Linked DNA regions of Tamandua tetradactyla. Each later gene encodes a partner of the first gene's protein in a complex. Links are inferred from orthologs where the notes say so. Each region holds a gene or a part of one and is shown on either strand. Other genes may lie near its edges. The genes, in order: PPARGC1B and PPARA.

What was found.
Region 2: the proteins of PPARGC1B (region 1) and PPARA are in contact, whole or in part, in a crystal structure (PDB 3SP6), measured with the Homo sapiens proteins. The link is inferred for Tamandua tetradactyla from reciprocal best matches to the Homo sapiens genes PPARGC1B and PPARA. Residues at the interface, in NP_573570.3 of Homo sapiens: Ser154, Leu155, Leu156, Gln157, Leu159, Leu160, Leu161, Thr163; in NP_001001928.1 of Homo sapiens: Val284, Thr285, Thr288, Glu289, Lys292, Phe297, Leu302, Asn303, Gln305, Val306, Leu309, Pro458, Leu459, Glu462, Ile463.

Annotation. Positions count from the first base shown.
Region 1 is NC_135346.1:30,477,815-30,492,450, reverse strand, and holds the start of PPARGC1B (peroxisome proliferator-activated receptor gamma coactivator 1-beta), read right to left. Parts: upstream 7,381-14,636; 5' UTR 7,340-7,380; coding exon 7,262-7,339; intron 1-7,261. UniProt on the Homo sapiens protein: Plays a role of stimulator of transcription factors and nuclear receptors activities. Activates transcriptional activity of estrogen receptor alpha, nuclear respiratory factor 1 (NRF1) and glucocorticoid receptor in the presence of glucocorticoids.
Region 2 is NC_135333.1:40,680,843-40,696,051, forward strand, and holds the start of PPARA (peroxisome proliferator-activated receptor alpha), read left to right. Parts: upstream 1-9,510; 5' UTR 9,511-9,553; intron 9,554-9,699; exon of another isoform or gene 9,700-9,799; intron 9,800-9,824; exon of another isoform or gene 9,825-9,945; intron 9,946-10,064; exon of another isoform or gene 10,065-10,265; intron 10,266-10,315; exon of another isoform or gene 10,316-10,457; 5' UTR 10,458-10,594; intron 10,595-15,209. UniProt on the Homo sapiens protein: Ligand-activated transcription factor. Key regulator of lipid metabolism. Activated by the endogenous ligand 1-palmitoyl-2-oleoyl-sn-glycerol-3-phosphocholine (16:0/18:1-GPC). Activated by oleylethanolamide, a naturally occurring lipid that regulates satiety.

The DNA.
Region 1 (14,636 bases):
CAGTGAAATGACATGACGAGGGGGTTGGGCGAGACGAGAATGGCATGAGCTGACAATGGTTGACACTGAGTGACAGGGACAAGGGAATTCACATTCACTACACTATCCTTACTACTTGCTGTCTACTTTTGTATGTGTTTGACATTTCCATAGTAATATGCTTAAAACACAAAGCTCTTCTCAGACAATCTGACACCTGAACATATAAATCTGTTTACCTATTGGGCAGCCATAATGCTTGCCAGGGATAAAAATAATTATTTCTTGCCCTCCCAGAGCTTTCAATCTATTTGCAGGGCAAAAAGCACAGCATCCACAGGGCAGTAAGTGGCATACACCACATCAGTGGGAGAGAAGAACTTCTGCCTACAAGGCTTTCCAGAGAGGACAGGTATGAGCTGAGGCCTGACGTTCAGATGGGCAATGAATACATTAAAATAGTGGAGGCAGCAGTGGGGAGGGGACATTCCAGCTCATTCCACAGCTTGTTAGTCCATCCCTTCTCAGGAACACATGGCCTGAAGATACAAAATGGGAAGCAATGTCTGCCCTGAAGATTCAGGCTCAAGAGTCTCACATATTCATTCACTCAGTGAGGATTTATTGGTATCTACACTGTTACAGGCACGTGTCTATTTACTGTGGAAAATGGTAAATGAAGCAGACAAAAATCCTTGCCTTCATGGAGCTTAACATTTTGGAGTGATTTTCTAAGTAATGACTTAGTGGGATCTATATTAGCAGACATACATATTATTTGGTGCTCATTATATGCCAGCCCTTATAGTAGGTAATTTAAATCTATTTTATCATTTGATTTTTACTGTCGCCTCACCACAACCTTATAAGGGAAGAACCCCTTATTATTATGTTCATTTCACACATGAAGAAAAAGGAAGCACAGAGAGGTTTGGGGTGTAAACGGCAAATTGCAGAGGCAGCATTCAAACCCAAGCAGGCTGTCCACAGGGGGTGCTCTGCCAGTCCCTGCACTATGACACATGGGGGATGGAGCAGCCGTGCCTGGAGGTGAGAGTGAAGGCATCACCAAAATGATGGCATGGGAGGTGGGTCTTGGAGGATGAATCACAGAAACGGTAAGGCTGGAGACAGAAGACAGAAACAGCACGATTCCAAGTCTCCAGGAGGAAAACTCATGGCATATTCTGGGGTGGGTCAGGATCCCAAGGGAAAAGCAGACAACTTAGGACAAAGGCAGAGGCTTAACTCTCCAACTTCAGGTGCCTTTGAACAAAAGGTTAGAGTTTGGACTTTAAAAGTACTGGCGGGGGATGGGGGGACATGTGGGCCACGGTGGCTCAGCAGGCAGGATTCTCGCCTCTCCTGCCAGAGACCCAGGTTCGATTCCCGGTGCCTATCCATGTGAAAAAAAAGAAAAAGTACTGCGGGGTGGGCCACGGTGGCTCTGCAAGTAGAGTTCTCACCTGCCATGCCCAAGATCCGGGTGCCACAGGACATGTGTGCGCAAGGGAGTGATGAAAAAAGGCATGCACTGTAGGAAGACTATCTGCCATCAGGGTCGAGAAGAAATTGGAGGGAACAGAGTCTAGTGTGGCAAAGATCCCTTTGGTACTAACTGCAGAAATCCAGTTGTGAATGGACAAGGATCTGGATCAGAAGAGGGGGAGAAGAACAGAAAGGTCAAGTCCACCAATTTTGTTCAATCCACCTGAGTCTCCATACGATGGCTGGGAGGTACATGACTACCTCGGACAAAGAGAGGTAGGAACTGAGCCTGCTCATTTCCTTCCAGATCATTTCATTGGTGATTCCCTCCCATTCACAAAACAAGAATTATGCATCCCTTTTTCTTTTTACATAAAAAAAAGTAATATGTACCAATACTAGTTTTTATTGCTCCTGCCCTTCTAAAGTGCTTCAAACAGAGAAGAATTCCATGTTTTATGAGAAGCAAGTCAATGGTCATTTTATATACATTCTATTTTTTGGTTCCCAACCTTGAGACAGGATCTGTTATTCCCATTTTATCGATGGAGAAACTGAGGACTTGAGAAGCAGAGGGACTTACGAGTTCTGTCTTCTCACTATACAATGTGCCTTAATTTACTCAAGGTGCTGGAGATACACAATGATGAACAAAAACAGAGAGTGATTCCTGTCTTAATAGAGCCTGGAGGCAAACAATATGGGACTCTCACCCACTAATCCTGGTTCTACCACTTACTCAAAGAGGGGGACTTCAGCAAGGCAGTGACTTTCCTGAAAATCCTCATCTTAAAATGGGGATAATAATAACATCGACACTTCATTGAATTTTTTTGGAATGAAACATAATAAAGCAAACAAATGGCTTAGCCAAGTGCATGCCACCCAGATGCTCAATAAATGCTGCTGCTGCTGCTGACAATGATGAAGAAGATAGCTGCTAACTCTGGGAATGCTTCTGTCATGACCTCACTTCCAAGCTCCAAGTCCCCATTTGCAAGGCCGCTTCTGACTCAAACCAGTGTTCCTTCTATTATTCCAGAGAGAGAAGGAAAAGAGTGACTCACATCCTGGCAATGGTGGAGCTTCTGGCTGGCCTGCAGCAGCTGGGAAAGGAGGCCTGGAGGTGAAGGGGAATACAAGCCCCTTGGGGCCCAGTTGCTGGGTGATTACCTTTCCTGAGTTTCATAGGCATCCATTAGCACCAGCCAGGGAGCCCCAGTGAAAGCAAAGCCCAGGGCTCCAGTGAACAGAGCCAGTAAGTCTGCCCATGCAGGCTCAAGTGATGATCCCTGGGCTCAACACAGATGAGAGATGGGCAAATGCACCTAGCAAAGGCCACATTTCAATTTGCTCCTATAGATGGTTGTAACTTGGACTTGGAAAACAAGTTGGCCCTAGCATCAAGGATTGCAGAGGCAGTGATACTACAGATCCAACAACTGAACACTGGGACTTGAAGCCATTCTCCTAATTCTCCATGTGGCAGGGACTCATCCCTTCCAGGGGCTTAAATCTAGCTTTAGAATAATGAGGAAGCTAGACACCAATCCGAAAATGGGCCAAGTTTACAAACATGGCATTTCACAGAAGAGAACCACAAATGGTCCATAATCATATGGGGAAAAGGTTCAGCATCACTAATAATCAAAGAAATGCACATTAAAACAATAGGGTGACAAAATTTATTGATGAACAGACTGATAAAAGTTTAAAACAAAAAAAATACCAAGTTATCTGGGTATGGGGAACCAGGCATTCCCATACAATGCTGATGAGTGTGTAAATTAGCAGAATCTTTCCAGAAGGCAATCCAGAAATGTGTTTACCAAATGCCTGTACAGTTCCTTTGATGGAGGAATTTCACTTCTAGGAATTTAAATGAAGGAAATAAGACATATGCACAAAGATATTCATTTCAGCATTGCTTACAATAGCAAAAAAAAGAAAAAACTGGAAACAACTTAAATGATTAACAGTAACAGACTGAAATAAATACATTTTGGTTCAAGCCTCAATGAAATACTATGTAACCATTAAGATATTAAAGGATAATATTTATTGATATGGAAAGATGTACATAACATATTGTTTGGAGGAGAAAAAAGCAAGTTACAAAACAATGAGATTTCAAGTTACAAATTAGTACACACAGAATGATTCCATTTTTGAAAGAAAGAAGCTGTAATCTGTATGAACCAATGGGAAAGAAAAAAGCCTGGTAATACATATGAAAATTAACAGTGGTAACTTTGAGGTAATATAACATTTTTAATTTTCTTCTTTACGCTTGCCAGTATTTTCTAACATTTCTATAATTAAACTTTTTAAAATACGAGGTTGGACAGATGATTTATATAAAGTTCCTGCCGACTCTGACATTTTGGGCATCTATGATTGATGCCCCAAATGACTTCAAATAACCCATATTTGGTGTGGGCTGATGGCATTGCCTTTGGAGCTTAAGTCTTTGCCCACAGCTGTGGCCCTTTGCATTCCTCTCTCTCCACACTCACTGCCCAGCTGTCTCCCCTGCCAGCCTGGGAACTGCTGCTGGGCACAGCCCAGCTGAACCCCTATCTGTAATCCAGATGCTGAGCGAAGGAACAAGGCTCAGCATGGTGACAGGTGCCATGTGGGCACCAAGAAATAAAGCACAACTAGCTCTAGAATTTCACTGGGACACAAGATTCACATAGAAAGGTCTTGATTATAACACAGGCTGAGAAGGAGAGGAAAGAGAAAGCAGGACAACTGGTCTGGAGGGCCTACTAGAGGAGAAGGCCATGCAGGATGGGTGGGTGAGGGCACTCCGGGCAAGAGGCACAGCCTGAGCAAAAGTGAAGCAAACCCAAAGTCCTTTGGGATTCATGCTCCAAACCTCTCCAAGAAACTTTCATAATCTTGTTCTGGTGAATTTCTGTACTTTGGCCTGAATGGATAAAAATGTAGTCTCCTCAACAGAAAGCTACCTCCTGACCCCAGATTAGCCAACAGTGGCAACAAAAAAGCCTTTTGGACAAAATCACTTTCCCCCCATCCCTCTCAAAGGGGCTAGCCAGAAAGACTGGAGGTGGAGGGGAGGGAGGGTCAGGGAGAGGCCACAAGAGGAAAGGAGCTTGCACAAACAGCCAGACATCTCACATGCAAACAATGCTCACCCCACCACCATGCCATTGGATTCTCCTGCTGGCACCACCAGCCCCATTTGACAGATGAAGGAAATGAGGCACAGAGAGTTAAAATGGCTTGCCCTGGGGTCACCCAGCCAGAGAGTGGGGAAGGCGACTCCACTCAGGCCTTCTGACTCCAAGTCCAGTGCTATTTCAAGGTAACACACAGGACCTGGAGTCAGGAGCCCTGGGTGGCTCTGTCACCCGCTGGCTGCATGGTCCTGTACAAGTCGTTCACCCCTGGCTGCCTCTTTCCCCAACTGTAAAATGAGGAGGCACGCGATGGCCCGCCCAGGTCTCCTTCCGGCTGGATTCTACGAGCCTTCTAAGGGCGACTGCTAAGCACGCCCTATCAATTACATTTCCCAAGTTGGGCCGGGAAAGATCATCAGAAAAGCCTCGGTCCGTCACGTGGTTAAATAAAAAAAAGCAAACGTCTCAGATCAACTTTCACTGCACTGCTTCTGCTGACACCTGATTACCCAATTTTCTTGTTTTCTTGGGTGGCATGTCCCTGCCATGTAGGCCTGCTGGAAGGCTAAGGGCAAATAATTAATTACTGGTGAGGCAAAGAGCACAGATGCAGTTAAAACCCGAGGTCAGGTCCAGCGTAGACAAGACATGCTGAGGGTCCCCAAATGAGTCTCCGGGCTATTTATAGGCTTCCCTCACCCGCCTCTTAGCGGAGAGGTATGGAAACGCCCCCAGACAAGTGCGAGAGCTGGGGACGATTCTTTTCCAGGGTCAACTCTGCCCTGCTCGCACCCGGTCCCCCTAGCCCAAGGCTGTCGACTCCGGGATGCTGGAGCTGAGACCCGCCTTCCGCGCAGACACCGGCGCCGGGCGTGTGACGGCGCCTGGTGACGGCGGCGGGAGCTCCACCGCAGTTTCGTCAGAGGTAAAGGTACGAGCCCGGCGCGCGCTGCGTTGCGCGCACACACACACACACACACACACACACACACACACACACACCCGCGCACACAGACCACTCATCACACTTCCCCCGGCCTCGCGAAGCACAGTCACACTCCGCCAGCCCTTTCGGCCCTTGCCCAGAACCCACCCGAACGGCACCCGCCACCAACCACGCGGCCCCGCGGCTCCCCGACGCAGCGGCGTCTGCAGCGGACGAGGGCTGGCCTTCCCCGGCGCGTGGCGGGCTTCCTCTCCGTGACACTCCGCGGTGCCGCGCCGTCCCAGCCGCCGGCTCGGAGTCGCCACCCGGAGTCCGCCGGAGCTGAATGTCTCGGCTGCTGCGTCCCCTCCGAGTCGTGTCTCACCACAAGGAGTCAGCTTGCAAGCCTCTCCCCGCCCACCCGGTCCCATGACAGCTGCTGCCGCCCAAAGACAGGCAGATTATAACAAGAAGCAAAGTTTCCCTCTCTCCCCTCCCACCTCCCGCCCCCACCCCCACCCCCACCCCCAGCCTTCCTCCTCCCTTCCCGTGTTATGCAAAACGGGCCGGCACCGACCCTTCCACTCCAGGTACCAAACCAGCGTCGGCGAGCCGCGCCCGGTTCCGCCCGGTGGCCCCTCTCCCAGCTAGGCGTGCGCCTGCATCCGGGGTCTCCTCAGCCTGGCCACATCCCCAGGCTCCCGGGGACCCGCAGCAGGGCGCCCGGAGAAAAAGCCCTAACTCTGGGGCTAAACTTTACACTTGCAACAGGCATGGGTGGGGGAAATGACGGAAGGGGCAGGGGGCGCGCAAGCCTTAGGCAAGCATTTTCGGCGGCTATTTGTCCCAGCAGCACCCTCCTGTCTTCAAGCCATCAGCTCCCCCGGCCCCCACTCCTCGGGCACACCAGAGCACCCTCTCCTGTCACGCGCGTGTCGCCAGTGGGGATCCCAGGCGCAGCCAGACCCCAGGATGCCGCCTCGCCTTCCCTTTCCCCTGCAGCGCCGAATGCGCACCGGGGTGGCGAGCAGCAGGGGAACCCAGAGGCCCCCAGACAGTCTTCCCGCCCCCATCCTGCCGTACTTTTCCCCTGGGGGGCTCCACTGGGTAGCGAAACCAGGAAGGCGCTATCCCCGCCCGCATGTCCACGTGCCCCGCAGACCCTGATTCCCATAGCCGGTAACCCGCAGGAAACTCCGCGCAGTGGGCGCCGCGGGGGAAACGCGGGAGGCCGGCAGCAGCACTAGGAGGTTCCGGAGGCTGGAGGAAAACGGGGCTCCCGAGAGCGCCGGAGGCGCTGGCGCCGGGGCCACAAGTCCACGTGAAAGTACGGCAGCAAATGCCGGGCGCTAAGGGCGCGCCTCCAGCGCCCAGCGCCGGCGGGAGGGTGCCCCACACCTTGGCGCGGCTCCACTCCTCCAAAGAAACACGGTACCCCCTCAGCTCTGCCCGCAGGGTCAGACTCCAAGTGGCCAAAGCTAGACCTTCCTCAGCGGCCGTGGCGCCCCCAGAGCTCAGGCACGCGTGAGCCCCCCCATTTCCCTGCCCTAGGAACGGAGCACATAGCAGGGGGCGTAGAAGAGGGTCTCTGCAGCCTGGAACCCCCGATCCCCCCAGAGCGCCCACTACTGCCTCCCGGCCTCCTCGGCTGCGGCGGCTGCGGCGGCAGCCCGGGGTAGTTCAGTTCACCCTCGTCCGTCTCCCCGGCCCCGGCGGGTCGTACCTGCGTGTCAGCTAGATAGTTGAGGAAGAAGGAGGAGAGCTCTTCGTCCAGCAGCGCGCCGCAGTCGTTCCCCGCCATCTTCCAGCCGCGGCTGCAGCGTGCGGCGGAGTCAGAGCCGAGCCGGCCGGGGGGGAGGCGGGGGAGCGAGCAAGAGAGGGAAGAGGGAGGAGAAAGCGAGGCCGGCGGGAGGCGGAAGGCGGAGCTCAGGCCCCCGGCTGCCGCAGGGCCGCGGGCTGCGGGGGCGGGGCCGCGTGGCGCCCTCATGAGCAGGGGGTCGCGCCCCCACTCTCCTGCACAGCCTCCGCCTCGGCGGCTTGCTTCCGCAGCCCCTAGGCCAGAGGAAAGCTTCAGCAGCTCGGTGTCAGTCTCCTAGCTAGCAGCCGATGCCTGCGCAACAATGCGGGCAGTCCCCGGCTCCTACCAGAGCGAATCACGTTGCCTTAGCGCTGGGCGGGCCCTTTGAGATAACCTGCTTCTGCACAGCTGGGGAAACTGAGGCTGGGGGAGGGGGAAGAGAAAGCCCGGGGCTGAGGGCCCTGAAGGCTTGAGTTTCTCTCTCCTGGCTATATGGCCAGGGAGGGAGAGAGAGATAACCATAAGTCAAGGTGGGAAAAATCAGGGAAAGATCCTTGGTGGCATTTTTTGTCTGTAACATGAAAGATGCATCGATCCATATTCTGTTAAACCTGGTCATATGTCTCTCTCATGTCGCCCCTTCCCCCTCAAAAAGAACTTTAATGACTTCTTTTTCCATTGCCCATAATACCTTAAAATGGCCCTCTCGCTGCAGTCCTTTCCAGCGACTCCCTGTACCTTCTCACGACAGGCCTGTGCACACAGAGAGCTGCCCCCTTCCCTCAGTGGATTCACGGGCTCCCTTGGCACCTCAGATCTTTCTTTTAAAACGCTCGTCGCATTGGCAATTGTGCGTTTGTTTCTATGGTGATTGGATCCGTGTTCCCCCGCCATACTAGATTGTAAGAACCATGAAAGCAGGGCCTGAATCTGCTTTTGCACTTGTTATGGTTCCACTGCCTGGTGCATAGTAGGCAATTAGGAATAATCTGTTAACTGAAAAATTAGGGTTCCCATCCCCACCCTGTGTACAAACATTGTACCGATAAGGAAACTAAATACAGAGTCAAGGAGACTGCCAAGTGAGTGCCTGAATCATAAGAACTCAGGTCTCCCAAATCCTTGAACTCTCGTCAACGTGCCCAGCAATTCGGCAGGCAAGAGATGAGGGCACCCCCGGATAAGACTGGAAGGCAAGAATGTTTGGGTCTATTTTACTGAATGGCAAGAAGATTATGGGAAGATGACATAGTAAGAAGCTCCAGGAATCAGTTCCTCCACCAAAACAACTACTCAACTGGCAGAAACTGTCTGAATCAACTACTTTGAAACCCCAGAGTCTGGGGAAGCATTGTGCCTCCTCCAACAACAAGCTGGAGAGGATGCTGGTAAATTGCTGTATATGCCAGTGAGTTTAACCCTCCTTGCATCAACTACCATCCCCCTATCCCAGCCTCCTAGCATGCAGCAGTGGTAACTGGTGCTTGGGCCAGTGGTACAGCTTGTTGGCTCCAGGGTGGAACATAGTCTTCCAAATTCCTTGGGTGTGTCATCTGATCTTTGATTAGCTACTTCAAATCTCTGGGATGTGACTCTGAGAGCGGCTATTGTTCCAGCCTCCCTGAGACAAACGCAGCAGAGAAATCTTTAAAACAGTTATGTTCCTCAAAACTGCCAAACAGTTCATTGGCTGCATTAACAAGGTAGGTGCTGAATTAAGAAAATTAAAAACATAGAAGCTCCTAGTGCCCTTGGTGGCCTTCCCCAACCCCCTCCATAAGGCATGTGTCTTCAATGTGGGTCCCTGTCTCTGTTCCAGAGGGAGCAGAGTGGCCCCTGTGAACATACTGGGGTGCATATATGTCAGTGTCAGCCTACCAGGTGGAACCCTGAGAGACTAAACTGGGGAGTATGTATCAGCTCACCATCCCAGATACAGAAAGCCACATTCAGAAAGCTAAGAAAGTGTGAAAAACAACAGGTAAATTGGCATGGCCTGGGGCAAAGGACTACCTGTATCAAGTCACTCAAGAAAGCACCCCGGAAGGGGAGGAGGCCAGTTTCAAAAGGAGTAGAGGGACATTCACTTGAACTCCTGGAAACTATAGACAGGGAATTCCTAAATCCTCTCACAAGTATAAACCCAGAAAAAGAAGCAGGCTCCCTGGCTCCGGTTCCACTCAGGCTCAGATAAGACAGAAAGGACCTGCATTTCCCATTCGCCTCAGGCTAATCTTCTTAATAGGAGCAAGAATTTCTGAAGAAAACTACCAGCCTAACCAGAGACAGTTTGAAAAGGCCTTGAAAGGTGTTTTCTAACGTGATTTGTTTGTTTCTTGAATTTTGCATTCAAGAAAATCTCTGTCATTTCACTCGCTGGATACAAACTTAAGGAACAGACTGCTCGGGGACTAAATCCTAGTTAACATTTTAAATATCAAAATGTACAATGTGGGGTGGTGCAATGGTGGCTTAATGGCAAGAATTCTCGCCTGTCAAGCTGGAGACTCTGGTTTGATTCCCAGAGTCTGCCATGCCAAAAAAAAACCTAAAAGAAAAGGTGTACAATGTAACAAAAGATTACAAGACTGAAAATACTGACCAATCCAAAGGAACAAGATAAAAATCTAGAAACCATCAATCATGAAGACAGAACTTTACATTGACCAGACAGAGATGTAAAAATAATTACCTTAAATATGCTCAAGAAGAGAAAGGAAAACAGGGAGAAAGAACTAAAGGATGTGAGGAAAATCATGAATGAACAATTTGGGACTCTCCCCAGAGAAATAATGGAATTGAAGAACACAGTAACTGAAATGAAAAATTCCGTAGAGGGTTTTAACAGCAGATTGGGGGTGGCAGAATAAAGCATCGGTGATTTTGAATTCAAGACACTAAATGATTCAGGCTGACAAGCATAAAGAAAAAAGGATAAAAATGAACAGAACCTAAGAGAACTGTGGGGCACCATCAAGCATACTAATACACACATTTGAGAGTTCCAGATGGACAAGAAAGAAAACTATGGTCAACCAGTAATTTTATATCCAAAAAGACTTTTTTTCAAAACTGAGGGAGAGATTAAGACATTCCCAGATAAACAAAAGCTGAGGGAGTTCATTTCTACTAGATCTGCCCTACAAGCAATTCTAAAGGGAAATGTTCAGACTGAAAGAGAAGTACAGTAGACAGAAAGAATAAAGGCCTGGTAAAGTAACCATATGGGTAATTATGAATGCCAACAATATTGTGTTGTGTTGTGCATTATGTAACTCCACTTTTTTCCCATATTAAAATGCAAGTGCATAAAAAGTATTGATAAATCAATGGTTTTGGACATATGATATACAAAGATATAATTTATAACAAGTAAAAAAACCAGAGGGGTAGATGAATAGTGTAGATGTATGCTATTGAAGATAAATTGGTATCAAATCAAATATGATTATTATATAATTAGGAGGTTGTTTTCATTTCCATTGCTGCAAAAGCAAATATCATGCAAAGGGAGGAGGAAACAATGGGAATTTATTGGTTCACAGTTTTGAGGCCAGAAAATGTCCATGTAAAAGTATGGACACTAAAACTATGGTGTTCTGGGGACTGACTGCTGGTGATCCTTGATCCTGAGCCACATGACAACGCACATGTTGGTCTCTGCTGTCCTCTTATTTCTCTCCAGTTTCCATTGAATTCCAGCTTCTTACTTCCCATGGCTTTATCTGTCTGAATCTCATTCTGTTTATAAAAGACTCCAGTAATGTGATTAAGACCTATCCTGATTGAGGTAGGCCACATGTTTAAGAAGTAACCTCATCAAAATGTCCTACCTACAATGGACTCACACACATAGGAATGGATTAAGTTTAAGGACATATTTTCTGGAGTACCTACGGCTCCATACCTATTAAAATGTAACAAATGTTAAATTTTAGCCCCATTGTAACCACAAAGAAAACACATGAAAAATATATTCAAAAAAGAAGTGAGAAAGAACTCAAAATGGTGCAATACAAAAATATATAGAGAGAGAAGTAGGCATTAATAGAAGAATTGAGAATCAGAAAAGATATAAGACTTATAAAGGCAAACTAGCAATGTGACTAAAAAAAAAAGTACTGCATTATCAGGAGTTCTTTAAATATAAATGAGCTGAACTCTCCAATCAAAAAGGAGAGATTGATAGAATGGATTTAAAAAAAAAACAGTATGACCCAACTATATACTGTGTACAAAAAGACTCACCCTAAATTCAAAGACATAAGTAGGTTGAAATGAAAAAAATGAGAAATAATATGTCATGCAGGTAGTAACCAAAGGAGAGCTGGATAACAAAACTAAAATCAGATAGAATACACTTTAAGTCAAAAACTGTTACAACTGGCAAAGGTGGGTCATTATATACTGATAAAGGGGTCAATTTAACAAGAAGTCATAAAAATTATAAATATGAATGCACTCAACAACAGAGCCCAAATATATGGAGCAAATATTGACAGATTTGATAGGAGAAATGGACAGTTCTACATTAGTGCTGGGAGATTTCAATAATGGATAGAACATCTAGACAGAAGATCAGTAAAAAAAAAAAAAAAAAAAAAAAAACAGAAGAATTGAATGATACTCTAAATCAGCTAGACCAAGCAGACATATATGGAACACTTTACCCAATAGCAGCAGAATACATGTTCTTCTCTAATGCACATGGATCATTCTCCAGGATGGGCCATATGTTGTCACAAAACAAGTTTCAATCAATTCAAAATATTAAAATCATACCATGTATCTCTAAATGTATCTCTAATCATACCATGATCTCTAATCACAATGGAAAGAAACTAGAAATCAATAACAGAGAGAGAAATGGGAAATTCACAAATAAGTGAAAATTAAGCAACATACTCTTTAACAACCAATGGATCAAAGGAAAAATCACAAGGGAAATTAGGAAATATCTTTAGGCAAATGAAAATGAAAACACATTGTACCAAAACCCATGGGATGCAGCAAAGCACTGCTGAGTCAGAAACTTACAATTCTAAGTGCTTACTTTAAAAAGAAGAAATATCTCAAATCAGAGACTTTGCCTCAAAACTAGAGGATGCAGAAAAAGAAGAACAAACAATCCAAAACAAGGAGAAGGAAGGAAATAATAAGGATTAGAGCAGAGCTAAAATGAAATAGATATTTTTTTTAAAAAATAGAGTATCATCAAAACCAAATGTTGGTTCTTTGAAAAGATCAATATAATCAACAAACTTTAGCTAAACTAACAAAGAAAAAAAAGGACAAAAATGACTAAAATCAGTAAGGAATGGAAGAACATTATTGCCAATGCCAAAGAACTGAAAAAGACTATAAAAGGATAATATGAACTACTGTATGCCATCAATTGGAAAACCTAAATGAAATGGACAAATTCCTAGAAACACACAAACTATCTACACTGATTGAAGAAGAAACAAAAGATCTCAACAAATCAATAACTGATTTGAATCAGTCATCAAAAACCTCACAACAAAAATGTACAGAACCAGATGGATTCACAGGTGAACTTTACCAAATCTTCCAAGTAGAATTAACACTATCCTGCTCAAATTCCTTGAAAACAATTGAATAGGAGGGAACGCTTCCTAATTCATTCTATGAGAGCAATATCACCCTCACGTGAAAGCCAGATAAAGATAAACAAGAGAAAAAAAAAACTACAGACCAACATCCCTTATAATATAAATGTAAAAATCCTCAGCGAAATACTAGCAAACCAAATCCAATAATATATCTAAAGAATTATACATCATGATCAAGAGATATTTATCCCATTTATACAAGGGTGGTTCAACATAAGAAAACCAGTATATATTTAATACACTACATTAACAGAATAAAGGGGGGAAAACAACACGTGATGATCTCAATTTAATGCAGAATAAGCAGTTGACAAAATCCAGCTCTCCTTATTGATAAAAACACTTTAAAAACTAGCAATAGAAAGAAACTTCCTCAACATGATAAAGGACATATGTACTGGTTTGAAACTGTTATGTATCCCAGAAAAACCATGTTCTTTGAATCTTAATCCAGTTGTCCTGGGGTAGCATGTTCTTTTAATCCTGAACCAATATTGTAGAATGAGACCTCTTGATTAGGTTGTTATCATGGAGATATGATACACCCAATTGTGGGTGTGACCTTTTGATTAGATGGCGTTTGGTTTGCTAACGCTGCCAGTAGTGGAATGGCTTTTTAAACAGATTTTATTATGTTATAAGTTTACAGTTCTAAGGCCAGAAAAATTTTGAAACTAAGGTATCCAGAGAAAGGTACCTTGACTCAAGAAAGGCTGATGCCAAAGGGAACACCTCTCTCATCTGGGAAGGCACATGGCAACATCTGCTAATTTCAGGCTTCTGAATCAAAGAACTTCCCCAGGGTTGATTTCCTTCTGCATCTCCAAAGCTCTCATGTCTAAGTCAGCACTAAAGCTTTTTTCAAAATGGTTCCCCTTTAAAGGACTCGAGTAAGCAACCCCACCTTGAATGGGTGAAAACATATCTCCATGGAGACAACTTAATCACAAAGATCCCACCCAGCAATATTGAATCAGGATTAAATAACATGGCTTTTCTGGGATACGCAACAGTTTTAAACCAGCACAGATGGAGATGTGACTCCACCTATTCAAGGTGGGTCTTGTTTAGTTTACTGTAGTCCTTCAAAATCTGACAGACACAGACTTTTAGAGATGCCTGGAGTTCTGACGGAGATACTTAGAGAAGCCGTATGAAACTAGGACACAGACTCTTGAAGAGAAAAAATCTCTGGCTCTGGGAGATGCTAAGCTGAGAGATGAAACCCAGAGTTTTGCTCCAGAACAGCCAAATGAGGTCCACAAATGCTTAAAGAAGAAGCCACTGGAATCAGAAGCTGGAAGCAAAAGAACCAGAAGCAATGACTTCAGACACCAGCCATGTGCCTTCCCAAGTGACAGCCATTGACCTTTCTTCAGAGTCAAGGTGTCTTTTTGTGGCTGTTTTAGTTTGGACATTTTTATGGACTTAGAATTGTAAACTTATAACATAATAAATCCCCTTTATAAAAGCCAACCCTTTTCTGATATAATGTATTCTGATAGTGTTAGTAAACTGAAATAGCTTACATGGAAAATCTACAACAAATCATACCCAATGTTGAAAGATTGGAAGCTTCCCCTCTAAGATCAGGAATAAGAAAAGGATGACCACTGTTATTCAACATTGTACTGGAAGTTCTAGCTAGAGTAATTAAGCAAGAGCAA
Region 2 (15,209 bases), on another chromosome or scaffold:
AACGCCACCAGGGAGATTTTCACCCCTGGATGTCATGTCCCACGTAGGGGAGAGGGCATTGATTTCACTTGCAGAGTTGGGCTTAGAGAGGGAGAGGCCACATCTGAGCAACAAGAGAGGCCCTCCAGAAGTAACTCTTAAGCATACCTAGAGGTAGGCTAAGCTTCTCTGCTACATATATAAGCTTCACAAGAGTGAACCTCAAAATAAAGAACTTGGCCTGTTGATTTGGGTATCCCTATTGTTTGACACAGTATCCAGGTTTCCATGGTGGTAAAGTTTAATAGTCCCATAATTTTTCTCCCATTCCTCAAGGGACTTTGCCAATACTTTTTGATTATCTGCTTACTATACCCTGGGATGTATCCAGGCATTACATAGCTATACAGGATCATAGGCTCTCATTCCCACTTGGTAACTTCCTTCATCTTAGTAGGATCTCTGAACCCTGCTGGTTTCCAGCAAGAAACCAGAGCACAGTTTTAGAGCAGAGCATGGTACAGGGGGGCCTGGGAAGGTACTGGAAGAGGGAGTCTACCGCAGAGGTGCACAGTACTGCCTGGCTGGGCCTCCTGGGATGGGCTTGTGCTGCAACTCTGACCGGCAGCTGCTGGTGTCTGTGGAAGGCAGAGCAGGGTGACTTTCAGCTGACCAGATTTGGCTGGTTAGGTTCTGGACGAAAAAGGGAGCTGATTGCCATAGAGCCACCATCTGGGCCCCCAGGCCAAATGCAGGCATGGGTGCTGGTGGTGAAAGCATTTCCAAAGCCCCGAGCACGAGACGCTGACCATCATGCCCTGCAAGCATTCCTCCCGGGACAATCATGTGATGGCTATCCCGGCTGGTAGGGACAAACCGCTCCTTCGTGCAACACGCAGGCTCCCGAGCGGGAGGGGACCTCTGAGGTCAGCTAGGCCAGCCTCTCACTTCACAGTCAGGGAACAAGCGCAGGATGCCTGTGGCTGGTCCAAGGTCACGGAGCTGGGGAGGGAAACAGTGGCCACAGCGGAAAAACTGAAGGCATGTGAGCCAGTCTGACCGGGCATTGGGCCCAGGCCTGCCGCGCCCCAGGTATGCGGCTCGCGGCAACTGCTCAGCGGCACTTGGACTCCGTGTTCACAGCCTGGGAGCAGGTTGTGTGGACGCCCTGCAGATAGAGAACCTGCCCGCCATGGGCGCACGTTCCCCCTAGCAGCCGAGCAAGGGGGGAGTAGGCATGCCTGCACCCTCTGCTTTCCTTTGGATCAGCAGTGCCTCTAAGGGACAGGCTCAGAAATCCCTGTCCAGGTGTGGGAGGGGGATACTGAGCCTACGGAAAGGCCACTCCTCGAGCTGCTTCAAGTTCAAATGAAGCACGTGAAAAAATCAATTCTGTAGCTGGTTGAAATAACCGTTTCAGCAAAGGCAGGCTGGGAGGGTTGGACCAACTGCATCTCTGGCAACAAGTAAAAATTAGGGGCAAAAAATCACTTCTGATTTTCTAAAGTTTACCTTAAAAACATCAAAGAGTTGTCGAAATAATGAGGATTCCCCCAGGCCGTGTTCTAGGGGAACCCAGAGAGGAACACCAGAGCCAGTTGCTGCACTCAGGGCATCTGTCCATTGGCTACGACTTTGGGGAGGTGGGCCGTGCATGGAAGGTAAGATGCGAGGAGTCTAATAGGGGGCTCTTCTCCATGTTAAGCCGGGGCCCCCAAAAGACTGCACCTCATGGAAGGGTATAGAGGCAGGGGTAACCCTGACCACTCTTCCCAGCCCCCGCTTACTGCCCCCTCCCCCATCAGGAAGGAAGATTTGCCTCAGCTCCAAAAGGGAAAGGAGACAAAATAAAAGGGAAAAAACTGAACTCAGCCACAAGGAGTCGAGGCCCCTGCAGAAATGGGACCCCAGTTCATCTGCCCTGCCAGGCCCCGGGGAACCTCAAGCCCTGACCCTGGTTTCAGGCAATCTTGGGCTGGCAGATGTAGGGACACATATAAATCCTCTCTCTCTAGAAAAAGGAAGCGCCATCATTGGCTTCGTGCAACCCCCACAAATACCTTTCCAAGGGTCCCAAGACATACACCGTTAAAGACAACCAAGCCTAAAAGGAAGCCAGGTGCTGAGAGCCACAGGGAGACCAACAGAAACCTGCACAGCCTTTGTCTCTTGTCAATATCATTTCAAACCATAACCCAAGAGCTGGCAAGAGCTGGAGCACACACTTAGTGGCCAGCCCCAGCTACGGCTCATCCTTCATCCAGGAATTCACAGAGGGAGGACCGCGTGCTGCCCGGCGGCAAGTTCTGGGGCTCAAGGGAGGCAGCAGGCGTGCAAGTGGCTGGAGGGGTAGAGGGCCCAGAGGCTGCGTCCACTGCAGGCGGGGTGGGAAGAAGCATGCGGGAGGTTTCCACGGCTGGCTCAAGTGGCTCTCCTTCACATTGCTTCTCAGTAGCGGTAAGTCACCCTTCTTGTGCAAGGTGCTGGGAGAAGCTGGCTTCCTGTTCCTGAACCAGGTATATAGAAACGGATTTATTTACAGCCACTTCCCCTGGCTGTTGAAGAGGCTGTTCTTTCCCCATTGAATGGCCTTGGTTCTCTTGTCAAAAATCAATTAGCCATAGATGTGGGGGGTTATCTCTGGGCTCTCAATTCTAGTCCATTGGTCCAGTTGTTTAGCTGAGGCTGGATCCACACTGTTTTGATTCTTATGGCTATGTACTAAATTTTGAAATCAGGAAATGTGAGTTCTTCAACTTTGCTCTTTTTTCAACATTCTTCTTGCTATTTAGAGCCCCTTGCAATGCCATATGAATTTGAAGATTGACTTTTCCATTTCTGAAAAAACAGGCAATGGGGTGCGTTTTTTTTTTTTTTTTTTGTCTTTCTTTCTTTGTTTTGTTTTTTTTTTCCTGCAAGGGGTGTTTTTTAGTTTTTACTCAAGTTTCTCTCTTTAGATTCGTGCAAGACCACCTTCCACTTTGGCCACCTTCATAGCAATGTTGCAGTGCTCCTTGTGGAACCACTCCCCAGGACACCATCCCTGCTCCATCCTCCAGCTCTGTGCAGGTGAAACAAGTCCCTTGAGTCTGAGCCTACTACTGCTGAAGCACCTTCCTTGGCTCCCCACTGTCTGAAGGATAGTGTCTCTGCTCCTTAGTCTGCCTTCCCAGGCCCTCCCTGTGCTACTTCCAGTCTCCTCTGCAGCTCCATCCCTGGCCTCCCGGGGCCCTCTCCTGCTCCAAGGTTTGGGAGAATGGGGCTGTCGCCCTTTTGCAGCAGGAGAGCTAACTGAGGTCAGTTTCAGTTAGTTCTGGTAAGTTACTCAATTTTTCCTGTGAGTCTATCAGGTGCTGTGGCCATAGCCTTGGGAAGAAAGAGTCCCTGCGCTGGATGGAGACCCTCCTGTCTGATGAGAGAGGCAGGAAACCATCAGATCCCACTAGAAAAATATGATAAGAGCAGAGACTGAGATTTGCCTGGGATTTTAGAGGGCAGTGAGGGCAGGCATCTCACCTAGCTGGGGTGGGGCAGCCACAGGCTGTTCAGGGGAGGCTTCCAGGAGGAGGGCCTCTGAGCTGAGATCAGTTAACAGACAAGGGGGGCATCTGCCCAGCCCACAGTGCACCCCAAGGTCCAGGTGAGTCAAGGAACCAAGGGGTGCTGGGAAAATACCTGGCAACTCCCTAAGAGCCCAGAGGCCGCCTTGCTCCCCCAGATGACATCAGCATTGGGGTCAGTGGGCCGTGAAATGGGGTTACCTTAGAAAATGTCAGCTCAGTCCTTGGCACCTACTAGTGTTAGTGCTTTGTTTTGTTAATTGAACTCAGGACTGATACTTACCGAGATGGTTTGAGTGAATCTAATGCTGATTCCTGGAGAAGTGAAGTGGTGGGTGTACAGCCCCTCGTCGGCCTTCCCAACCAGCCATTCAGGAGCCCTGCCCGCCAGGGTGCCAGTCCCATGTCCTTCACCAACACTAGGCCACAGCCACCATTTTAAGAACTGGATGGCCTTCGCGTACCATGTGGAATTCAGCTTTGGCTTGCTTTTTCCTCTGCATACCTCGAGGCTCCTGGGCAGAGACAAAGCTCTTCCCTAGGCTGGGCTGGGCCCGAGGAGGGCACCGATGGTGTATGTGCCAGGACACATGTGGGTAAATCCCTGCAGCTCCCGAGGCAGCCGCCCACATCCCACAGCCTCACTTGGTGGAAGATCAAAATCAGGGGCTCATGTGTCATTTTAAATTCCACTCTGCAAGTCTCAACACTGGCTGATGTGTTGACTTGAAAATAAATAGCACAAATAAAACTGGAGTTGAGAGCTGAGCTAAGGCATGAAAAGGTTGGAGACTGAGCTCAGGAGAGTTTCACGAAGACTTTGTGACATGCTGTGCGCTCTTGAGTACCAAGGGCTCCTCTGGGGCAAGCGTTCCTGAACTTGGGGCTTTTGCAAACCAGTGAAGTCTTAACAGCTCTGGGGGCTGCCAACTCCTATCGCCTACTCTTGGCGCTTCACATAAGACATTTTTATTAAGAAAAGGTATTTTCAGCAACAACAACAAAAGAATGCAAAGGACATAATCTCAGGGCAAGAAAAAGGTATTTCTTAAAATTGATGAGACAATGCTTTATAGGAAATGCCCCACAATGTCCTTGATTTTTTTCTCATTTTGCTGCAGACCAGGAAAGCTTTGCCGGCGATGGCTTGTCCCTTTACATCCTGTACCTTCTCTTAGCAAAACCTAAGGCCTGTGATGCTGACCTCCTCTCCATTCATTCGGCTGCATTTGTGGAGCCTTGCATGTTCCAGAGGCAGAGCTCGGCACCTGGGATGAGAGCCACAGAAGGTGCCCTGTTCTCATGGAGCTCGCAGCAGAGGCTGGGGCCGAGGGCCCTGTAGGCCGGGCCAGTCTCACGTTCATCCCCCCAAGCCTGGCTGGGAGGATTTTCTGTAAGAGGCAGATGACAAGGCAGGAAATGAGAGAGCTGCACTTGGCCAGGTGTCCTAGGTGTGAGGGCCCAGTCAGTGGTGGCTGCTCTGAGCGGTGGAAATAGGCCTTGTAAAGACTCTCGCTCCAGATAAAAGCAGGAGTTGGTAGCAACACAGAGAAGAGGGTGGTTTTTTGCTGGTGGGGTGTGTCCCAGAGAGGCTTCCTGGAGGAGGTGCCCTCCTGGAGGAGGCAGAGCCCTCAGTCTGGAATATGACACACCTGTAGTACTGAACAGCTGTCTCCAGATGGCTCAGGATTAAAACATGGCTTTTCTAGGGAACATAATTCTTTCAAACCCACACAAGTGGGGAGCAGTGTTACGAACTCAGTTTGGGTCAGATGGTTGCAAACTCCATTTCCACACAGAACAGTATCCTTTGTCCCCCCTCTTCCCCTTTCTGGCTCTCCAGCAGGACTCCCATGGCAAGAACAGGTCCCACAGGTCCTGAAGCTCCAAGCACCTGCTCTGAACTGGGTAAAAGACACCCATGATTCCAAAGGGTGGCAGCCAGCTGGAGATGGAAATGCACGTGCTGACAAGACAGGGTCCACCAGAGTGGACACAGGTGGGGGGGCAGCGTCATGCAGGTGGGCTGCCTTTAGCTTTTCAATGACGTCAGACATGGGCACCCAACCTCTGTCCACTCTAAACGGGGACAGGTGAATGATATAACAAAGGGGTTGAGTCCTTATGACATCAGTAGTCGCTGAGCCTGTAGAAGGTTCCAGATCCTGCAAACCAGCTGCCCAGAATGAGCATGTGGCTTTACCCAACATGTTAAGAAGGGTTAACATCTATCACTGTTTTTACTTGTTTGTAATCTGGTGTTTAAAATCCTCTAAGGGCTTCCCATCACCCTTAGAACAAAACCTCAACTCCTCACCAGGCCACAAGGCCCTGCCTGGCCAGGTCCCAGCCCAGCTCTGGTCCCCTTGGAGCATGTGCATTCCCTCATCCCTTGAATGAGCAGACTTCAGTGCAGGCTGCTGCAGGCCGATTAGAGCAGGGGGGACAGGACTGGCCTTGAGCAATCCCCCTCCCATGCAGGAGCCAGATAAGGCCCAGGGACACAGTTATGGGGTGCACCTCTGGCTCTCAGGCCGGCTGAGGTGTCAGGCTGGAGAGCACTAGCCTCTGGCTGTGGTCCAGGCAGTGGGGTCCTGCATGTACCCCAAGGGTGGCATACGGTACGATGGGTTTGGCCTCTGAGCGCCATGCCTCCAGCTCCTTCCTGGTGCCCCGGGTCAGGTGCTACTGCTCCTGTGACATGGAGGCCAGCTGCTGGCCTGTGGGGCTGTTGAGAGTGCTGAGGACAAGACTTCGCCACCTGGACCCACGAGGGTTTTGCCATCGTTACCAGGAGGATGGGCAAGCACATGTTTCTGGTGGTCCCTGCCAGGGTCGAGCCAGGGCCCACTGGGTCCACAGACTCTCCCTCACTCAGCCCGCTGTCCCTGCCTGGTGGACTTCTGCTACCTGCCCTGAGAGCACGTGCCCAAGGGGTCAGAGGCCTCTGCCCTGGCTGATGACACCCGGAAGCACAAACACCAACTCATCAGGAGGGCTTTGTAGATCAGCAAAGGGCAACCAATGACCCACGGAGGCCTTGGATGGTTCCCGGTAAAGGGCTTACCTAAGCTACAGGCAAACAAACTGACTCCAGGCCACATGGCCCAGGCCACTGCCCAGACCCACGGCAGGGCAGGGTCACACCTTCTCTCTGAATTAGAGGGTGACATCCTTGCTGCCTGGTACCAAGGGGCAGACCCCTGCTCCAGGTCTCTGGATGCCCACAGCTTCCCGATTCTCTCCCAGAAGCCAGGGCATGGGAGTCTCACTGCCTGGTGGGGTTGGGGGTCCCGGCAAGGCTCAGCAGAGCAGGGGTGGGCTCTGGAGTTGCGCAGACCCACCTTCTGACCTGGGCCCTGCAATTCCGCCTATGGGACTTGGTGCACCTAGGACCTCTCTGTGCCTCAGTTTCCATAGCAGTGTGGGAACAATAACTGACTTCTCGGGAACATCTTCCCGATTATACAACTTGTGAAAAGGGACCTGAAAAGCACTGGCACCAAATAATGTAAGCCATACCCTAAGGGGACCAAGACATGAGTGCCCAAGACCCCAAGTGCCTACTAGGACCCTGTCTTTCCAAAGCGGAAACTCGGGTATGCACAGGGACTGTTCCCATTGATTTGACTCCAGAGTTACAGGTTTCTGCTCAGGCCCTGCACAGGAGGCTGTCTCTTTCCACTTGTGTCCCCCCACCCCACCCCAGTGCTGAAGGAGGGAGGGGGGATGGAGAGACTTCCTGGAGCTTGGGGGGAGGGAGCATTCCCCAGGACGGTTCCCCCCATGCTGGCCCGATGGTTCATTTTATGTGTCCACCTGGCAACGGGGACCACTTGCTTGGTCTAACACAGGGCTAGGTGCTACTGCGAAGGGGCTTTGGGGATGGGGTCGGCAACTACAATCAGTTGACTTCAGGTAAAGAAGACATCCCTCGATAATGTGGGGGACCCCACTGAATTAGCTGAAGGCCTTGGAAACAAGAGCCAAGGTTTCCCAGAGAAGAAGGAATCCTGCCTCGAGATGGGACCTTCACCTTTGACTCCAGTCTGCCCGCCCTACAGATTTACATCGAGATGCAAAGTCTGCTCGTAGAGGAATTTCCAGCCTGCTGACTTGTCCTGTAGATTTTGGACTTGCCAGCTCCCGTGATCACCAATTCTTAAAAAATCAATCTTTCTATTTCTCTCACGCACACACACATGCACACATGCACACACACACATACACACATGCATGCATCCTATTTGTCTGGGAAACCTTGGTCAATACACCAGCTATGTGACAAGGTCTTCATGGCAAACAGAGGCTGTTTTCGTCTTTCTTGCTGAGAGGGATTTCCCCAAAGAAACCCACCTTCCTCCAGAAAGACAGAGGTAGAACCATCTCTGGCCAGGATCACACTGGTAGAAAAGTTCTGAGCTTCTTTTTAATGACAAGGGCTTCAGAACGACCTGGGGAAGCTGACAAAGCATTTGTTCACAAGAAAAAAACAGACGTTTCTCCCCTAAACCCTGGGAGCCCCCTCAAGAACCTAAGAATATCATTCTTCTGTCTGTCAAGCACGTACGAAGGCTCTGTTGGACCCTACACAGCTTCCTTTGTCCTTGTTCGTCACAACCTTTGCCAGGTATTTCCAACCATCTTGCTGAACTGGGTGGGTTTTTTTTGGGGAACCATCATGATGCCTCTGGTAAAAGAAAGCCAGCACCCACGGTTCTGGACTCAGGGTATTTGGGAGTCTGGGATCTGGGGTATGTCAGGCAACGTCTTAGTAGTGTGGAGCCCACAAGTCTGTCTGGGCAGCCACCGTTGGTCAGCTTCCTTTTCAGCTCGAGCTGTGATGCCTAGCCCAGGACTGCCCCTGGTCAGTGCTGGTGACTAGTTGCTGAATAAAGAAAGAATGCCACTACCTGTTCAACTTATGGGACACCCATGATAGGACGTGCACTGATCACTTTGCAAACTCTGACACATAAGGCTACTGCTAGCTGCGTGGGCAATAAAAGCTGGGCTTGTTGCTCAGTGAGTGGGAAGGGTGTGTGGGTGTCTGGGGGCTGGGGCAAAGTTCACCCCGGTGCAGTGCTAACCAACCGGGGGAAATTGAAAAGAAGCCTGCGGAAAGGCCAGGTTTGGCCTGGCCTCCCCTCCCTGCCTTCCCCCCCCCCCCCCCCCCCCCCCCCCGAGCTGGTCCTCCTGGCGTTTGTTGCCACAAATAGAACAGCGGGAGGGCAGGGAGAGGGCTGGCATAGCACACATTTCGTTCCCAAAGGAGGGGCACCCTGGGACGTTGGCACCTCGTGGCCTCGTGCATTCCGTGCAGGGAGCTGGGTGTCAGGGCACAGAGCCGCCTTGAACTCTCTCGGCCCCTTCTTCTCGCCATTGGCAGCACCAGGGAAGGGGCACCCGGCTCGCAGGCCGCCAGGGAGGGAGGGATGGGGGCTGGTCGTGGCGCCCGCGCTGCCCTTCACCCTTTTTGTGCTCCCGCCCGCCGCATCCCGTGCCCTGGCAACTCCGCCACCCGGTGGCGCGGCGCTGCCCCTTCTCCGCCTTTTGCATCTTGGGGACCCGGGGACGAAGGCCTTCCTTGCCCGCCCCCGGTTCCCGAGACCCGACGGGTGAAGCCGGGCTAGCGGAGAGGAAGGCCCCACCAACGTGGCACCGGCGCCCGGCGGGGCTCCCACCCCCGGCTCCGCCGCCACAACCTCGGCCCCTCCCGGGGGCGCGGGCCCGAGCCCGCCCGCACGCCGCGGCAGCCTCTGGGCCTCTCCGGCCTCAGTTTCCCCCGAGTGGCCGCGGGGCGCAGGGTGGGAGCGGCGGGGAGCTCCCAGGGGCGTCCGCGGGCCCGCCCAGCTCCCAGCAGCCAATCGGGCGCCGCCGGCCGGGGGTGTGTCCCGCCCGGGGGCCCGGGGTGAGAGGCGGGGAGGCGGCCGCTAGAGCCCTGACGGGCGCCGCCTCCCTGGGTGCGCTGCGCAGGGCGGCCCGGCAGGCGGCGGGGAGCGACGCGGCCCCAGGTGCCCGGCGCGGGCGGGTGGGCCAGGCCTCCCCAGTCCGGGGCCCCAGGGCCGTGACCGGCCGGGGCGGGGCTGGCGGGAGCGCATGCGCGAGGGCTCGAGCGGGGGGACCCCGCGGGCGCAGGGGGCCGCCCCCTGCCTGGCCTCTCTCGGAGCGCCCCGGCCCGGCCCGCGGCCGCGGCGTCGGTGACTGTCGGTGGGGCGGGGGCGGCGTGGAGGTCGCTCCCGGCGGGGAAGGCCCACGAGGTGGGACTTGAGCTTCTGCAAGTCGAGCCCTGCGCTCGGCGCGGGCAAGTTGGGGCGTCACGGACTTGGGGGGCGTTTCCAGAGACCCCGAGGGATCTCCGAGGCGGGGTGACCGCGAGGACCTGGCGGAGCGACGCACGGGGCAGGTGCGCCCCGCAGCTGCGGCCCGACGGTGGCGCGGCCGCCGAGCCCCCTCTGAGGCGCCGTGTCCTGCCGCGGACCGGGCGCGTTCTGGGGGTGCCGGGTGCCATCCGGCCGGGTCGGGGTGCGCCCAGGCGCCCAGGTGTTCTCGATCCCCCGCACTTGGCCCGTGAGGCGCCGAGGAAGCGGAGGGGCGCGTGGTGGCTCTGGAGGAAGTTGACAGCGGGCCTTGCGCCCACGCCCACCCACGTCTAACCCTGAGAGCTGCGCTCCCCGTTCAAGGGGGGCGGGGGTAGTGCCCCAAATGGCACTCTTTCTAAAAGAGGTACAAGGGTGAGATGGGAACATTGGGACAGCACGTCCCCACCCCACCGCACCCGCCCCCTCCCAGGCTGCCCGGGAAATGGGGCGCGGGGGAGCTGGGCGGGTAGGTGGGGCAAAGGGCTCTCCCGGCACTGACCCCGTGCAACCGTTGTCGTTGTGAGAAGCAGGGTCAGGGTGACTTTCCTCTTCCAAGGTGGTGGCGAGCTGACGAGGGTGTCCAGGGAACGGTCGTGATCGTTTCCTCCTTTCCTTTCCTGCTGCCAAGGCTGAGGCGAAAGGCCCTGCAGTCCGGGTGACCAGAAGATCGGAGCCAAGCAGGTTTCCTCACAGGTAAAGAGAAGATTTGATTCACACGTGTTTCCAGGCCCCAGTCTTGAAGGATTTACTGCTGTTGCCCAAGGGACCAGCGTTTTTGCTGTTAGTTGTGACACTGATGCAATGTTGAGGGCATTTTCAGTACTTTTAAACTCAGATCCATTTGGAGCTATTCATTTTGTAAGTTCTGAGTTATTACGTGAGTTTCACCAAGGTCTTCATATCTTCGTGGCAGACCAGGCGCATGTAATTTAAATTTAGACAGTACAACTTTGAGAAAAGTTATTCCTTAATAGGCACTGACCACCGAGGAGCAGTATGCTGTCTTAGCTGTTTTAATTTAATTTGAATACCAAGCAAATGGCTTATGGAGATAGTGGATCAGTTCTAGAATTTCCATCAGCCAGTGCAGGGATAGCTAAAGAAGTCGGCCAAATGGTACAGATTTGTGAGGTCACATTCAGGAAAGGCCAGACCACTTCACCTTCTCCAGGAGACAGGGGGCCTGGCAAGATTCTATACAACTTGGAAACAAAAATAAAATCACGGATGGTAGGCAAAAATTAAGTTGTTTCTGTCTCTCTCTTTTCTCGCATCTTAAATGTATAATGGGGGAAATTCCAAAGTCATAAAATAATTATTTTTACCAGCTCATGTTTGCAAAACTTGTAAACAGATTTTAAACTCCCCAGTCCTCTTCTCCCTTTTCCTCTCCCAGGTTTTGTTTTCTGTGTGTGAATGAATATATTCCTAAGACTGAATAGGTTGGCCTGACTTCTCAGTGGCTGGTGTTTTCATTTTACTGTCTGCACTCCTCTGGTTGCAGCAGCCTGAGGATGTGTCCTGTGTACTTTGCTTTGTTGGACTTTGAGGGGCTCTGTTTGTACTTCTGGTTTTGGTGATGTGGTGTACAGTCGGTTTTGTAAACATTCCCGAGGCATTTCAGAGAGAGGCAGACTTTCTGTTTGTAGGAAAGAGATTGGATATTTCTACTGCCCCAGCCTCATTAGTTACATAAAAGAATCGATGTAATCAGGGAGAATTAGTGAAGACATTTAGTTTACAGCATGTTGTTGCAGGTAGTTTTAAGTCAAGAAGCAAACGGGGAAAAATCCTAAGTGTCCGAGTGAGCCGTATTTAAAAGAACATGTTTCTTCTTCTGGATACATCTGGTGCTTGAGCTTCTTGTGGAAAGGGGTACTAGGTGGGTGCACTGTCCACCTGTCCTCCAGGTAACAGATATCAGGTAGCCGAGCCTCATGTGCTCATTACCTGGAGGTGTGTTCATTCCTTATCTTCTGGAGTATTTAATTACGTAGTGTATTGAGGAAGTGGTGTCTTGGAAGACCGTATGTGCTTCAAAGAGTAAAGAACTTACACCTTACTAAGTCCACCCTATTATAATTATTTTTGTGGTTAAAAGTTGCATTTAAGGCCAGAGTGGAGTAAAAGAAAAAATATTTGGAAATTTTGGTTTGCGTGAGGGAAGCAGCTTGCTATAGTGGAAAAGGTGGTGATCATTCACCGGATTTGGATTCTAGTCTTTAGCTGCCACCTCCCAGGCCTTGGGACCTTTGTCCACCTCCCCAAACTGCCATGTTCTCACCAGAAAATGGAACTCCTCTCTGAGTGATTTTGAGTGAGGCTCAAATGTGGTGGCTTATCTGCGCGCCTCCCGGGAGAGGTCTGAAAGAGGGAGAAGGCCCACTGCGGGCTACCTGCCTCTCTCGCTTAGCCTATCTGATACCTGAGTTGTTTTTGCTCTGACCATTTTCTGATTTTTCAAAGGCTTTTGGAAAGAAACACCTACCCCACCTCCAAACATAACAATTTGTTTTTTTCATTTTTAAGTAGATATACAAGAATCGTACATCAGTCAGAACCAACATGCTTGGTGTCTGTTTTTGTTGAACGTAGAGGTGACTTCAGGTTTTGGTAGCACTACGTCTTTACGTTCGTCCATGCTCAGATCTATCTCAATTATACAAAGCATCATCCTCGTCCTTGGGCAATCTGCAGAAATGCGGCCGTGGTGTACTCTTGCTGGACTCTCTGCGTTTGAACCTGCTCTCTCATCTGCCCTGGGACAGGACTCTCTTGAGCTGTTTGGGTGCTGCCTTGCTTGCCATTGGCTGTTTGTCTAATTGTTCCCACTAAGTCTGACAATCTGTGGGCAAAGATTAGTTCATACTCATTTCTGCCCTGCTGGTGCTTTATGCCTAGTTCCAGTCAATGTTCATTGAATAAGTAAATGATTAATATAATTTAGTTCGACCAGTATTTATTTGTGGGTCTCTGTGTCTTCTGCAGTGCTCTAAAATGGGTAAGGACTCACTGTCCCCTACAGAAGGACAGGCCATGGACCATGGCTGCAGGATTCCCCTGGACATTTTTACAGCTGCCCTCTTACCTGGGATGGCAGAGCCCATCCTTCTGCTAGTTCCAGACAGGGTGCCCCACACCATGCTGGGTTTACATATGTAGTTCCCAACCCAAAGGTGGTATAAAGGTGGCGGTTGCAGTTGAAATGGTTCTGTTAGTAATTTGTCGCAAGGTTTGGGGTATGTGATGCGTTAAATTGGCTTTTTAGGAGATGGCCTAAGAATCTAACAAATTAAAATGCTGTTTCTTTCTGTGAGAGCATGAATTCAAATCCCAAACCACTGACTTAGATGGGAAGGGATGCATTTGAAACACTGTGAGTTGGGGAATGTGTGTATTTAACTGGTCACTTACTTGTGCTCCCGTAGTGGAGATAAGATATGCACAGGAGAAATTAGAGGAAACACTGATAAGATGTCTTCCATGCTACAGGATGCAGAATTCATGTGATTCTTCTATTTTGTTCTGCTTGAAGGGGTTTGCAAATAAAAGATGTGACCATTTCTATTAAGAATTGCATGTGTTACAGTTTTATCTTGGAGATCACAAGTAAACCATTGAAAGGGTATTATTTTGAATAGTGAGGATTAGGGAAGCAAATATGGAATGACTGTCTCAAAGTTAATGAAGTGTTATACAAGTGACCCGGAATGATAACATAGCCGAGTAAACGATATAGTTCCTTTTTTTTTTTTTTCCCATTTTTAAGAGTCCATGTAGCCCCATTTGTAACGGAATTAGTCTGTGGTTATGTGTTCACCACACTGAGATGACAAATCAGCAAGATACAGTGAAAACAACCCACTTATTTAAAGAGCAGCAAATAGATATGTCTCTTTCAGAAACATCTTAAGAAGTTAGTGGTCTGCCTTTGGTGAGTGTTTAAATGCATATTTACAACTAAAGAGCATGGCTTGTAAAATATAATATTGCAGAATTGAATGACAATCAAGTCTTGATCATCTGAAATCAAGTTTTCTTCTGTTTCCTATGTATTGAATGGAATGGTTTTCACCGAACATTCATTAGAGGCATTTTCAGGCGGCTTCCCTTATCGAACAAGTTGGCATTTCCTAGGCCAGCAGCATAAGGAAAATAGTATCCCTGTCTAGGTAGGATTTGGGGTAAATATGATAAAATTCTAAACTACAGACTCATTTTAGCTGCTTTTGTGAGACAGCTGATAACTGGGTTCGTTTCTTATTTATTCACTGTCCCACTTTTTCCGTTTCTGTTTTCCTCTCTGTGCATTGGGGACGGGATGACGTGAATGCCATTTAGAAGAAAAATCATCCCGCGGAACTTGCAGTTTGGTTGAGGTGGACCTGTCTTGGTATGTGAAGTGGACCTGTCTTGGATATGGTATCCAGCAGGGCAGTATTGGAGGTGTTTTGGTGCCCTGGGATTTCAAGATCCCTGAAGGGATTGTTTTCCTTAGTATTATGACTGTTGCCCCCCTACCCCCCCCCCCCCGGCTTTTGCAAAACATTACAGAATCTGTCACCAGCTCTAGGCCAGGGAACTTTGACCCCTGCAGGTCTCCTGATGATTCACGAACAAGCAGTCAAAAGTGCAGGAAAGTTCAGAAGACAACCTTTGTTCTTTTCTTTCCTTAGAAAAACTCCCCCCCTTTTTATTCCAGAGCACTTTCCAGAAAGAAAGACATTCTATGGCTATAGTTTTCAAATCTTAAAAAGAAACCTAACCCTTTACAGTGAATGAAGAGTCCTGAGAAAGGCAGGTCGGTACAAAAAAAAAAAAGTTCAGTTGTGCAAAAATACTGATGGTGAGAGATTCAGTAAGGGTCATGGAGCAGGGACAGGTTATGGGGTATTGAAATGCATTTGAAGCTGATGTTCCTTGAGAGAAAAAGGCTAGTGCCAACACGGCAGAGAGAACGTGTGTGACAAGTGATGACAAAAGAACATGGGGGTGGAGATGTTGATGCCTGAGTGTTTGTTCAAATAGGAGATGGATTCTACTTACCCAGGGAAGAGGGTATGGCAATGGTTCTAGTCCTGCAAAGGAGGCAGGGGGCAAAGGGCACAGGTTCTAAAAGAAGTGGAGTTGGAGAACTCATCACAAATGGTAAACCAAGGACTGCTGTCCCTCTGCTAGGACAGCCTGGAAACCAAAGCTTGTAACTGCCAGCGAAATGATAGGAAACGAGGTTAAGTGCGATGGTGTGTTTATCTGAAAGAAGTTCCTGGGGAGGTTGACAGGAAAGGGCTTTAAGTGGAGAGCTTTA